2 linked regions of the Saccharomyces cerevisiae S288C genome follow. Changing the gene in region 2 together with the main gene of any one other region gives a genetic interaction. Each region holds a gene or a part of one and is shown on either strand. Other genes may lie near its edges.

Region 1 (7,755 bases), on a different chromosome or scaffold from region 2:
GAATGTCTCTTTGGACACGGTAGATTCTTGTCCATGGGGGCACTAGGGCCAAGATTCTAGCAACTAAGTCCACTAAGGCGTTGGCACTATAAGACTTATACCTGCCCGTTTTCCAAAGTTCGTATAAACCTGTACCCCTAATGACTAAAGTTGGATAGATTTTCAACCCATCAGTCCTAAAATCAGGATTTTCAAAATACTCTTTGAACTGTTCAATATCTCTTTCCATCCCAACATTTGGTAAATCTGGCATCATGTGAGAAACAACCTTATAACCAGCATCTTTAGACACAGCAAAAGTTTCACAAACAGACCTAACGGTGTGTCCTCTATTAGTATCACGAGCAACGTCTTCGTACAAGGACTGAACACCAATTTCTAATCTGGTACAGCCATATTTTAACATATCGTCCAAATGTGTTTGCGTACAATAATCAGGCCTAGTTTCGATTGTTATACCAACACACTTCGTTAAACTTTGTTGCGAATAAAGAATAGCTTCATCAATATCATTACCATTGAACCCAGAAAGTGCATTATGCAATTTCACAATAAAATCTTCACGATATTCTTTTGGTAATGACATAAATGTACCACCCATCAGAACATATTCGACTTTATCGATGGAGTGACCTAACTGTTTCAATTGTTCCACCCTACCACGTGCTTGTTCATAAGGGTCATAACGAGCTCTGATGGCACGCATTGAAGTTGGTTCATAGCCTGTGTAAGATTGTGTAGAATACTCAAAATCTGAATCTGGACCACCTGGACAATAAACACAAATATTACCTGTATATGCAATGTGAGGACAACGATGTGGTTTACACATAACGGCTACCACTGCAATACCCGATGCTGTTCTTACTGGCTTAGCCTTCAATTTGGGTAATAAATATTTTTTGTATTGGTCTGGAATAGAATTAATGATATCGGTTAACCTTGGTTGTTGCTTTAGTTTATATTTCTTTGAATATTTAGTAATCAAACCATTCAGATTAATTTCTCTTGTTGTTCCCGAGGTTAAAGAATCTGTTAACTCTAATGTGATATCAGCACAACATTGTATAAACCTTTCCTTTTCAGGTGCTAGCTTTTTTTTGTTAGTTTTTGGGCCTTTTCCATGACGAGCCATCTTTGTCAGGGTGTTCTTCGATTTTCCTTAGGTGCTTTTAGGACTTGTTTATTTCAAAACTTTGCACTGGATAATTTGAGATGAGCTAACTAAATTTCAAAATTTTTTGACCATTTTTTTTTTTTCATGAGGAAGAGCCAGTGACAGTAAATAATAAAAGGTGAAATGATTAAACAATGAAAGCGGCAGAAAAATAAAATCAAACAGTGGCAGTATTGACTTTTGAAAATCAGAAGTTCATCCTAAGTTAAGACTTTCTTCTTTTAAGTGCTTTCTCCTTCTCTCACTGTCTTATCGCTGTATATCTCATTGTTGAATAATATAACACAACGTTATAAGTGATCATCACTTTCTGATCCATAATTTCAAACCTCAAGCGACCGTACATGTGGCATTTTCCACTATAAACTTACGAGCAAGAGAAAGATATACGGAAAAGGTTAATTGGCAGGTTACACAAGATTTTGGTCATTGAATATTTGCAGCCCTCCTGCTTGAGAAACTGGACAACAACTGTTATCAATATTCCCTTTTCAAAATAGTGGTATTTAACTGGCCATAACCAAGGAAACCGTTGTACCTATTATTTTGTATAGTCTTCATTTAATAACGTGTTAAGAATGACACCTGAAGCCAAGAAAAGGAAAAACCAAAAGAAGAAGTTGAAGCAAAAGCAAAAAAAAGCTGCTGAGAAAGCTGCTAGCCACAGTGAAGAACCACTTGAATTACCAGAAAGTACGATTAACAGCAGCTTCAACGACGACTCGGTGAACCGTACAGAATCTGACATAGCTTCAAAATCTGATGTTCCTCCGGTCTCATCATCTACCAATATCTCTCCGGCTAATGAAACACAACTAGAAATACCTGATACTCAAGAATTGCATCATAAACTGCTCAACGACTCTGATCAACATGATATTACCGCGGACTCAAATGATTTGCCAGACAACTCAATCGTTGAACATGACTCTGTTATTACCCAAACAAAACCAGCCATGTCTCAAGAATACGAAGAGACTGCCGCTCACTTATCTTCGAGAAATCCATCGCTCGATGTAGTCGCGGGAGAACTTCACAATAATAATGAACATACCCAGAAAATTGCCGTATCCGCTGTGGAAGAGGATTCTTTCAATGAAGAAGAGGGTGAAAATCACGACAGCATAATAATTTCATCATTAAACGATGCTACCCCTTCTCAATATAATCATTTTCTCCCATCCGATGGCAATCTTCTTTCTCCAGAATTATCTTCTGGTGATACGCCAACTCACAATGTTCCTCTAGGCACAAAAGACAATGAAATAAATGACGATGAGTATTGTAATGATAAGGAAATTAGTTTGAACGCAAATAATGTGCTTCCTGATGAACTTTCAAAGGAAGAAGATGAAAGATTAAAACTAGAAACGCATGTATCAACCGAAGAAAAGAAACAGGATATCGCTGATCAGGAAACTGCAGAAAACTTATTTACGTCTAGTACAGAACCATCTGAGAATAAAATAAGAAATTCTGGTGATGATACCTCCATGTTGTTTCAAGATGACGAAAGTGATCAGAAGGTTCCATGGGAGGAAGATGTGAAGAAAGATTTTCATAATGAGAACACAAATAATACTCAAGAATCGGCACCGAACACAGATGATCGTGATAAGGGTTATGAAGGAAACGAAGCTTTGAAAAAGTCCGAAAGTTGTACAGCCGCGGACGAGAGGTCGTACTCTGAAGAAACTTCAGAAGATATCTTTCACGGACACGACAAACAGGTAGTTGAAGGCCAAAATGATTTCACTGGGAAAAATATTGAGAATGAAAGCCAGAAATTAATGGGGGAAGGGAATCATAAGTTACCGTTGTCTGCCGAAGCTGACATTATAGAACCTGGTAAGGATATTCAAGATCAAGCCGAGGATTTGTTTACGCAGAGCAGCGGAGACTTGGGAGAAGTTTTGCCATGGGAATCTACTGATAAAAACGCTGATGTAACGAGCAAATCCCAAGAGAAACATGAAGATTTATTTGCTGCTTCTGGAAACGATGAGAAACTTCCTTGGGAAGTTTCTGACGGTGAAGTATCATCGGGAAAGACGGAAAACAGCATGCAGACTAGTACTGAGAAAATAGCTGAGCAAAAGTTTTCGTTTTTGGAAAACGACGACGACCTTTTGGACGACGACGACAGCTTTTTGGCTTCTTCTGAGGAAGAAGACACAGTACCTAATACCGATAATACAACGAATTTAACCTCAAAACCAGTTGAAGAAAAAAAGGCTTCAAGATATAAACCTATTATCGAGGAGGAAGCAGGAATGCGTCAAGAGCAAGTTCATTTTACCAATACTACTGGCATTGTAACACCGCAGCAGTTCCACGGTTTGACTAAAACTGGACTAGGCACCCCCAACCAACAAGTCAGTGTACCAAATATAGTTAGTCCTAAGCCTCCTGTGGTAAAAGACAATCGTTCAAATTTTAAGATAAATGAGGAGAAAAAGAAGTCTGATGCTTACGATTTTCCACTGGAAATTATTTCAGAAAGTTCCAAGAAGGGTCACGCAAAGCCGGTTGCCGTTCCTACTCAAAGGTTTGGCTCAGGGAATTCTTTTAGTTCTTTGGACAAACCAATTCCACAGAGCAGGAAAGGCTCTAATAACTCAAATAGGCCACCCGTGATCCCATTGGGGACGCAGGAGCCTCGATCTTCGAGAACTAACTCAGCGATCTCGCAATCTCCCGTTAATTATGCTTTCCCTAACCCATACAAAATTCAACAACTACAACAGGCTCCTATCCAATCAGGTATGCCTTTACCAAATACCAACATACCTCCCCCAGCATTAAAAGTGGAAACCACCGTTTCTGCTCCTCCAATTCGGGCAAGAGGGGTCAGCAATGCCTCCGTGGGAAGTTCAGCGTCTTTTGGTGCTAGACATGCAACACAGTACGGCCTCAATAACGGGGTACCTCCGGTTTCGCCATATGGTCAAGCTACCATAAATTTGCCAACTGCGAATAAGTATGCCCCCGTCTCTCCTACAGTTCAGCAGAAGCAATATCCATCAGTTGTGCAAAACCTTGGCGCTTCGGCCGTAAATACCCCCAATTTTGTAAAGACCCATAGAGGCCATACAAGCTCTATTAGTTCGTATACACCAAACCAGAATGAACACGCCTCTAGATACGCACCCAACTATCAACAATCTTATCAGGTGCCATATACCTCACAACCTGTTGGTCCTGTAGCTGGGAATTCAAGCTATCAAAGCCAAACCCGAAGTTCTTATGCAGTTCCTATGATGCCCCAGGCTCAAACTTCAGCAAGTATTCAGCCTCACGCGAACATTCAACCGCCTACTGGCATTTTACCTTTAGCCCCCTTACGACCTCTAGACCCCTTACAAGCCGCTACGAACTTGCAACCCCGTGCAAGCAACATAACGGCTGCAAATTCACTACCTCTTGCAAATTTGCCACTTGCTGAAAACATACTGCCAGAAATTATCACGCATCGAGCTACAAGTAGTGTTGCACCACCACGACAGGAAAATAATCCAATTAAAATAGACAACGAGGCTTTATTACGCCGTCAATTTCCGATTTTTCATTGGAGTGCTGCAAACAAGGTCGTGTACGCAGTCCCCCCTATCCCTGACCAATCGCAGTACATGATTTCATCAAGCATTGTACAGGAAATAAAAGTGACACCAATTGACCAGATAATTAAACCGAACGATATGCTCAAAAGCTTCCCAGGTCCTTTGGGTAGTGCCAAATTAAAAAAAAAGGATTTAACCAAATGGATGGAAACCACTATTAAATCCATATCTGAAAATGAATCATCCACTGATATGACTATATGGCAACTATTGGAAATGAAACTAAACGATAAAGTTAACTGGAAAAATATTTCAAAACTACTATACAATTCTGACGAACTTTTAATGTACCTATCTCAGCCCTTTCCAAACGGTGACATGATTCCAAATGCATATAGACTGGATATAAATTGTCAGATGAGAGTCCTGGCGTTCTTACAAACGGGAAATCACGATGAGGCACTTCGCTTAGCTTTAAGCAAGAGGGATTATGCCATTGCACTATTGGTTGGCAGTTTAATGGGTAAAGACAGATGGTCTGAAGTCATTCAGAAATATTTATATGAAGGGTTTACTGCGGGGCCAAACGACCAAAAAGAATTGGCACACTTTCTGCTCCTTATCTTTCAAGTATTTGTTGGTAACTCCAAAATGGCCATAAAAAGTTTCTACACTAATAATGAGACCAGTCAATGGGCATCCGAAAACTGGAAGAGTATCGTTGCAGCTGTTCTGATTAATATCCCAGAAAATAATGAAGATCCACTACTTATACCACCTGTTGTCCTTGAATTTTTGATAGAGTTCGGTATATTCCTCACCAAAAAGGGCTTGACAGCCGCAGCTAGTACATTATTTATTATTGGTAACGTACCACTTTCTAATGAGCCAGTAATGGCAGATTCAGACGTTATATTTGAAAGTATTGGAAACATGAATACTTTTGAAAGCATTCTATGGGATGAAATCTACGAGTATATATTCTCGTATGACCCTAAATTCAAAGGATTTTCATCTATTTTGCCCCAGAAGATATACCATGCATCTCTTTTACAAGAACAAGGTTTGAACAGCCTGGGGACAAAGTATACTGATTACCTCAGTTCCTCAGTTCGAAAACTGCCTAAGAAAGATATTTTAACAATAAACCTCACTCGTGAATTGAGTGAGGTGGCTAGTAGGCTTTCCGAGTCTAATACAGGATGGCTTGCAAAACCAAAACTAAGCAGCGTATGGGGTCAATTAGATAAATCCTTCAATAAATATATTGGTGGCGATGATATTGATGCATTGAATAAAAAAAATGATAAAAAGAAAGTTTTTGATGGGTTCACACCGGGATCTTCTGCCAATTCGTCAACTGTGGATCTCACCCAAACATTCACACCTTTCCAAGCTCAAGTTACTTCGCAAAGCTATGTGGATACTACAGCTCTTTTGCATAATGCCCATAATGTACCAAGCCATAGTGTGCTGCATTCAAAGCCTTCCAATGTGTCAAAGGGGTTAGTTGAAGCAAACTTACCGTATACGCATAGGATCGGTGATAGTTTGCAGGGATCTCCTCAGCGCATTCATAATACACAGTTCGCTGCTGCTGAGCCTCAAATGGCTTCTTTGAGAAGAGTTAGAACAGACCAGCATACAAACGAAAAGGCTTTGAAGAGTCAGCAGATTTTAGAGAAAAAGTCTACGGCCTACACTCCACAATTTGGACAGAACCATAGCGTTCCAATGGAAAAGTCTAATTCGAATGTGCCATCTTTATTTGCCGACTTCCCTGCTCCACCCAAACTTGGAACAGTGCCGTCTAATTATGTGTCTAGTCCTGACTTAGTAAGAAGGGAGTCTATCATATCTACCGGATCAGAATTTCTTCCTCCTCCCAAAATTGGGGTACCTACTAAAGCTAATTCCTCGCAGGGATCGCTTATGTACTCACCAAGTGTGGAAGCTTTGCCTATCGACCCTGTCGTCCCGCAAGTTCATGAGACGGGATACAATGATTTTGGTAACAAACATTCTCAAAAAAGTATGCCTGAAGATGAATCTCACACATCACATGATAATAGCAATGCTGATCAAAATACATTAAAAGACTCTGCAGATGTTACAGATGAAACAATGGATATTGAAGGACCTGGCTTCAACGATGTGAAGAATCTTCTTCCTATGGAGCCCAACCACCAGCCTACGTCTACAGTAAATCCTATACAAACTATTAGTGACGATATCCAACCGATTCTTCAAACTAACGTGGAGGTCCGGGGTACTGATGCATCGAAAATGGAAAATTCACTTCCCTCCATTGAAAATGAAAGAAGTAGCGAGGAGCAGCCAGAAAACATTTCAAAATCAGCATCATCAGCATATTTACCATCAACTGGTGGATTGTCACTCGAAAACAGACCGCTAACTCAGGATGAAAACAGTATCTCAGAGACAGTTCAATCCACATACTTGCCAGCAGGAAGTATTTCAATGGAAGCTAAACCAATTTCTCAAGTGCAAGATGTTCCAAGAAATGTTAATAATAAAGCATCCAAACTTGTGGAGCAACATATGGCACCACCAAAGCCAAAAAGTACTGACGCAACCAAAATGAACTACTCACCATACGTGCCTCAATCAACTGCCGCTAGTGCAGATGGCGATGAATCAACGATTCTGAAAACATCGCCTGCTATATATGCAAGAACTCACCAAGCACATGCATCCAATCCATCACAATACTTTCCTTTGGTCAACCAAGCAAATGAAACTGCTTCATTCGAATTATCTGAATCAACATCCCAGGCACAAAGTAATGGAAATGTTGCTTCAGAAAATAGATTCAGCCCAATAAAGAAAGCCGAAGTCGTCGAGAAAGACACTTTTCAACCTACTATTAGGAAGGCTTCAACTAACCAATACAGGGCTTTTAAACCGTTGGAATCAGATGCGGATAAATACAATGACGTTATTGAAGATGAATCCGATGACGACAATATGTCTACTGATGAGGCAAAGAACAGAAAG
Region 2 (5,371 bases):
AAGTTAAAATACGATACAATAATGTTGAGATTGGTTATTGATTAAATTCTATTGTTGTATATTACCAACTTACTCTCTATATTTGCGGTAGTGATAACCTCGTTAGAAACCTCAATCCATTGCAATTCTTTCCATGAACTTAGTATAAATTATAGAATATTAGTTTTCGTAGCTTGTAATGTATTTGAATTGGAACCATCTAATTGTTATCTGCCATTTTAGTATTTTGGACAAGCTCCAAATATGTGGTCCTAAGTTCATATCGAGGATACAGATTATTTGGGCCGTATCTTTGATGTCATGGAGAGTAGTGTGGCCTTCCAAGTCCTGGGGCAGCTATTAATTAGGGAATGTTTTGATCAACAACTTAGTGTTAATAGTAGACACAACGATGTGAACTGTTCAATACATCAGCAAACATTCTTAGTTTTTCTCATATTTTATGTTTACTTATGTTAACCTGCATTATTTCCATAAATAACAAAAGGCAAAAAAGTAACAAATGAAGTTATTAGGAAACAATAAAAAAACAATATCGAGAAAAAAACGACTGACTACATTTAAAGTAGAACGTCCAAGTAATAAATACATGTATATATTCAATAGAAGTAAATTTTAGGATGCTACAAAACGAATTCTTATCTATCTTTGTTTTCTAATCTTCCATCAGTAACTATTACCAATTAGACTATGTATATTTTCATTCTCATTTTCTAATCTGTTGATATCTTGCTCTAACCCCTTTATAGTCAATTCAAATTTATTGGCTTCGCGTATCCTGTACTCCTTTCTTCTAAATCTATCCTTTTCTCTTTTACTCAAAAATTGAGTACTGAACTTTTCTATCTCTTCTGCGTTCTGATCGACCTCCTTTTGTAACTTCTCGTTTCTCGCGTTCAATTTGTCCAGTTTAGAGCCTAGTTGAACTAATTCTTGATTGACCTTTTGGAACCTCCCTTCTGAGTTTTTCAGGTCTTTCGATAAGCTTTCTTCTAACTTACTGAACTCTAATTGATTTTTCAAGTGTAGATCTTTCTTTTTCAAGTATTCCTCTTCTAATTCAAGCTCTTTTTCAGTGAGAGTTTTCAATTGCATCTCTAACTTATTTACCGCAGTCTCACTTTGCTGTAGGGCAACCTTCAAATTTTCGACTTTTAAAGTGCTCTTTTCGTCATGTGTTGCGTTCTGTGAAATCCTGCCTTTAAAATAATCAATTTCTTGTCTCAAAAGACTTAACTTCTTGCTGAATTCCTTTTTTGTCTTTTTCAATTTTGTCCTTTCATCGGACAAATTTGCGTTTGTAGTTAGCACGGAATGCTTCAGAGTTAGCAACGGAGATAAGAATTTCCTATGGTAGTATGAAGGGAAGCTGAAATCAAGGTTTTCAAATTTTCCGGCAATCGCATTGTTATTCCCACAAGTCCTTACAATTAAATCAGAAACCAAATAATCATCTCGGTGATTTAGTCTGTTGATGAATTGAATATCATAAGAACAAGAAGGGACTAATCCGTTAACGACAACGTATTCTTCGCCTACATGCTCTAAAATTAAAGCGCAAGAAACTTCTGACCAGATAACACCGTTTACTAAAACAATGAGTTCGCCATCATGTAAATTTTCAATATGGAATGTAATAGAGTTTGTGCTAATATCAATAATGCAAACTTTGTAGTCATTATCATTTCTATTGAAAATATTTTCATTGGTGGAAACTAAATTTAAAAGATTGTAGTCATCAGATGTTGTCTTTGCAATCAGGGCCATAGTATTTGAAGGTTCGAAATTGTTAAACACGCTCTTCTTAAACTTTCCGGCATGGGTGAAACTAATTCTTGATGAAACTGAATGTGTATTAATCGTGTCCAAATCTTTGTCATGTTTTTCCTGATTACTGACGTATGAAGTATTCGAATTTGTTGGTGTTAGTGAATTTTCAGAGGTTTCTTGTAAGTATTTTTTTTCAAAATTCGTTGTTTTTAATGTAACTACCATAGACCAAAGAGGTGCAATCAAGTGTTGATTCTTTCTTCTGAATAGAAGACGGATAAAATTTTCCAAGTTTGATGTAACAGATATGTCTGAAGATAATTTGCTAGAAGAAAACATGTTCCCAAAATCAACATTCAGTTCAAACAGTTGGTTAGTATACTTGTCATTGGAAGGGGAAAAGAAATCAGAATCCTTTTTCGAATTTCCATTCGAGGAATCAGATAGAGAGATTTCATTTGACAAACTAGTGTTATCACCAGAAAAGTTGAACGTTGTAGGAGAGGTTGTTGTACTGGTAGTAGTAGTAACGGCTTGAGAATTGCTTCCTTCAGCAGAGATTACCGATGGCTGATATGACTTATATTCCTTGACCATAGAAGTGAAATAGGGAAAACTAGAAGTAGCATCAGTAGGATAAGAGGCGGCAGGGTTCAAAATATTACTGTGTGATGATAGGGGAACTGGCGAGTTATTTTGTTGGGATGGATGGATAGTTTGATTGCTGCTGCTAAGTCCACCTGGATCGTTCGGTATCATAGGACTTTGGTCCTCTAAAGTGTTCGAATCGGCAGAAACGGAAGAAGAAGAAGAAATTCTCATCTTTTGCAGACCTTGAACACGGGCTACATCTGGTTTAGTTGAATTGAAACCCTTTTTCAATGGCTTGTTTTCCGCTGTTTGTCTATGAGGGTGTAATAAACTTGAAGCAAATGAGAAAAAAAGGATGTGAAAGGATAGATAATAAATCATACTGTCTGAATGTTTGCCAAGCATCTTGAAAGGCATTGGCAAAAATAGAGAGAAAAGCTTTTTGAAAAACTGTGAATACTTGCGAAAAACCGTGAATAATTTAATTGATTGGCCGGTTCCTCGTAAAGACATATCAAATAACTGTATAATGTCAAAGAAGTGTGACACTCTTTGAAAAGTGTTAGTTGACACAGCATACAATACTGAGCATGAAGTTGCATAGCTTAAGCAATCGCTTGGATCATTGATCAAAAATGAGGCAATAATAGAAATTGCCAGATTTTTTATTGGCTTAACAAAATAATCGCCACCGTAAATCTTTAGTAACATTGCAAATAAAATTTCACAAATTAATACGGGGATCGGAATGACGAAGCTATTTTTTGAATTGCCAAAAAATCGTGAATTAGATTTTCGGTTTGAACTACCATTGGTCACTTTGGAAGTACTTATATCTATGTGCGCCACTTCACCGATATGGCGGGAAGGTTTTTTCGATAGGAAAAGTATAATAAAACAATTTGCCAGAAAATCTTTGCATTTGGTAGCAACAATAAAGGAAACCAATAAACATAGGGAAGTGAAGTGGTTAAAACTCAAAAAAACCAGGAACAATGCAAGCGTATCTTTAAACCTATGTTTTTTGGCAAATTCGGTGGGCTGTTCACTCCTTTTAGTGTTCATTAATGACTGTAGATGTGATACTTTCTTCTGATTAGTAAATTGTTCCTCCATGAAAATTGTGCATGGATCCTTTTATGTAACGGAGATAGGTGGAATCTTAAAAAATATTGGGGTGTATATGAATAAAAGTTATTCAGAGTGATTACCTAAAGAGATGGTACGAAAAATGTGGAGATAGAAAACAAAAAACTTTGGTAAGATATTATTATAACAGAAAGAATTTAAAGTTTTCTCTGCTGGTACTCTGTATAATCCTCTTAGTCCTAATAAAATTTGTTTATTCCTCTTTTAATAGAAACTAACGAGTTGTGAAAACCTAGTTATGTTACTTGTTATATTACACCTTCAAGAGGTTTAGGAATTCAACGTTATAAACACACAACTGCATAAGTTAGGCTACTTTTTTTTTTCAGATTGTCCGTATAATGCGATAATCGTTGAGTTCATGCCGATCTAAGTACCGAATTAGAAAAAAATGTGTCAAAAGTAGGCAGCCAATCTGTTTTGCTGCCATATTTTTCCTAACAGGATTTGCTATGTATGAAGTACGATAAGTATGAAATATTAGTGCTTGTACATACGACCAATTTGTAATAACTAGTGATGTAGAGAATAAACTTAAAGAAAACTTATGAATAAATAATTATGGAGATATAATTACGAATAATTATGAATAAATAGTGCTGCCTTAATTGGCACTTGCAATGGACCAAGTCTTGGCATAACCTTCAAGGTCAACAGGTTCCCAAGGAACTCCCAAGCATTCTGCAATGACTTTACCCAAATCTTCGTTTAGCAAACCAAAGTATTGCGTAACTCTCTTTTTGACTTTAGGATCTTTGATCTTACAAGCGTGGCAAACAACGTTATGAACGAATAATTTCTTCTGTTCATCGTTGTATACCTTTTCATATAGAGCTCTTGGCTGTTCGAAGTCTAGTGGACTAATACCATAAACGTAGTAATATTGATTAATTTTGGCATCAACAATATGCTCGTTTCTGATTTGGTCTTGTTCCTGTTTTCTCACAGAAACTTCTGTTACTTCGTCAAGAACTATCCCTTTGAACTTATCAGATACTTCGTCGTTGTCTTCATTTTTGAATTTCAGAGTTTGATTTGGTAAACTGGAAATATAATTTGGCTCAGGACCGAAATTGTAGTAACTCATTGGGCCGTCCCTTTGGAAGTTCACTGCTTTAAATGGACACTGTTCGGCAGTGTATTGGGAATCACCTTTGGAGTATGGACATCCCAAGTTTCTTGGTCTGTTGACGGGCAATTGCTGATAGTTGGCTCCCAATCTATGACGTTGAGTGTCTGGATAGGAGAAAAGTCTGGCTTGTAGAACGGAATCATTAGAAGGCTTAATACCTGGGATACAAGTGTTCGTTGGACTGAATGCAACTTGTTCAATTTCTTGGAAATAATTGTCAACATTCTCCGTTAGGGTGATGGTACCAAATTTTCTCAAAGGGAATTCCTTGTGTGGCCATATTTTCGTTAGGTCATTTACCGAATACCTGAACTTAGTTGCTTGTTCGGGTGTCATTGTTTGCACATAACAGTTAAATTTTGGCTTTTCGCCATTTTGCAATTGAGTGAACAGCTTTGCCTGATTATAATCAGGGTGGGAGCCTGACAGTTCAGCAGCCTTATCTCCAGTCAAGGTTTCAAAACCAGTATCCGACAAGACGTGGAATTGCACATATGTGTCCTTACCTTCTTTGTTGACCATGATGAAGGAATGACCAGAGTACGCGTTCATACTAGCCCACGAAGCAGGAGTACCTCTATCACCAAACATGTAAGTTATTTGATGGATTGATTCCGGATTCAATGTTAGATAATCCCAGTATATGGTAGTGTCCTGAAACTGATTCAGATGAGACTGAGGGTCTCTCTTTTGCGAATGAATAAATACGGGAAACTTAATAGCGTCTCT

Evidence for each region. Genes that interact genetically often act in the same process or in processes that back each other up.
Region 1: mutations in NNF2 (region 2) and SEC16 together harm fitness more than expected from each alone (negative genetic interaction), as found in Saccharomyces cerevisiae (2 studies listed by BioGRID).

Annotation. Positions count from the first base shown.
Region 1 is NC_001148.4:385,312-393,066, forward strand, and holds the start of SEC16 (COPII coat assembly protein SEC16), read left to right. Parts: upstream 1-1,755; coding exon 1,756-7,755. Other genes in the region: Elongator subunit ELP3, read right to left, coding at 1-1,135. UniProt on the Saccharomyces cerevisiae protein: Involved in the initiation of assembly of the COPII coat required for the formation of transport vesicles from the endoplasmic reticulum (ER) and the selection of cargo molecules. Also involved in autophagy.
Region 2 is NC_001139.9:655,066-660,436, reverse strand, and holds NNF2 (Nnf2p), read right to left. Parts: upstream 3,478-5,371; coding exon 667-3,477; downstream 1-666. Other genes in the region: CTT1 (catalase T), read right to left, coding at 4,115-5,371.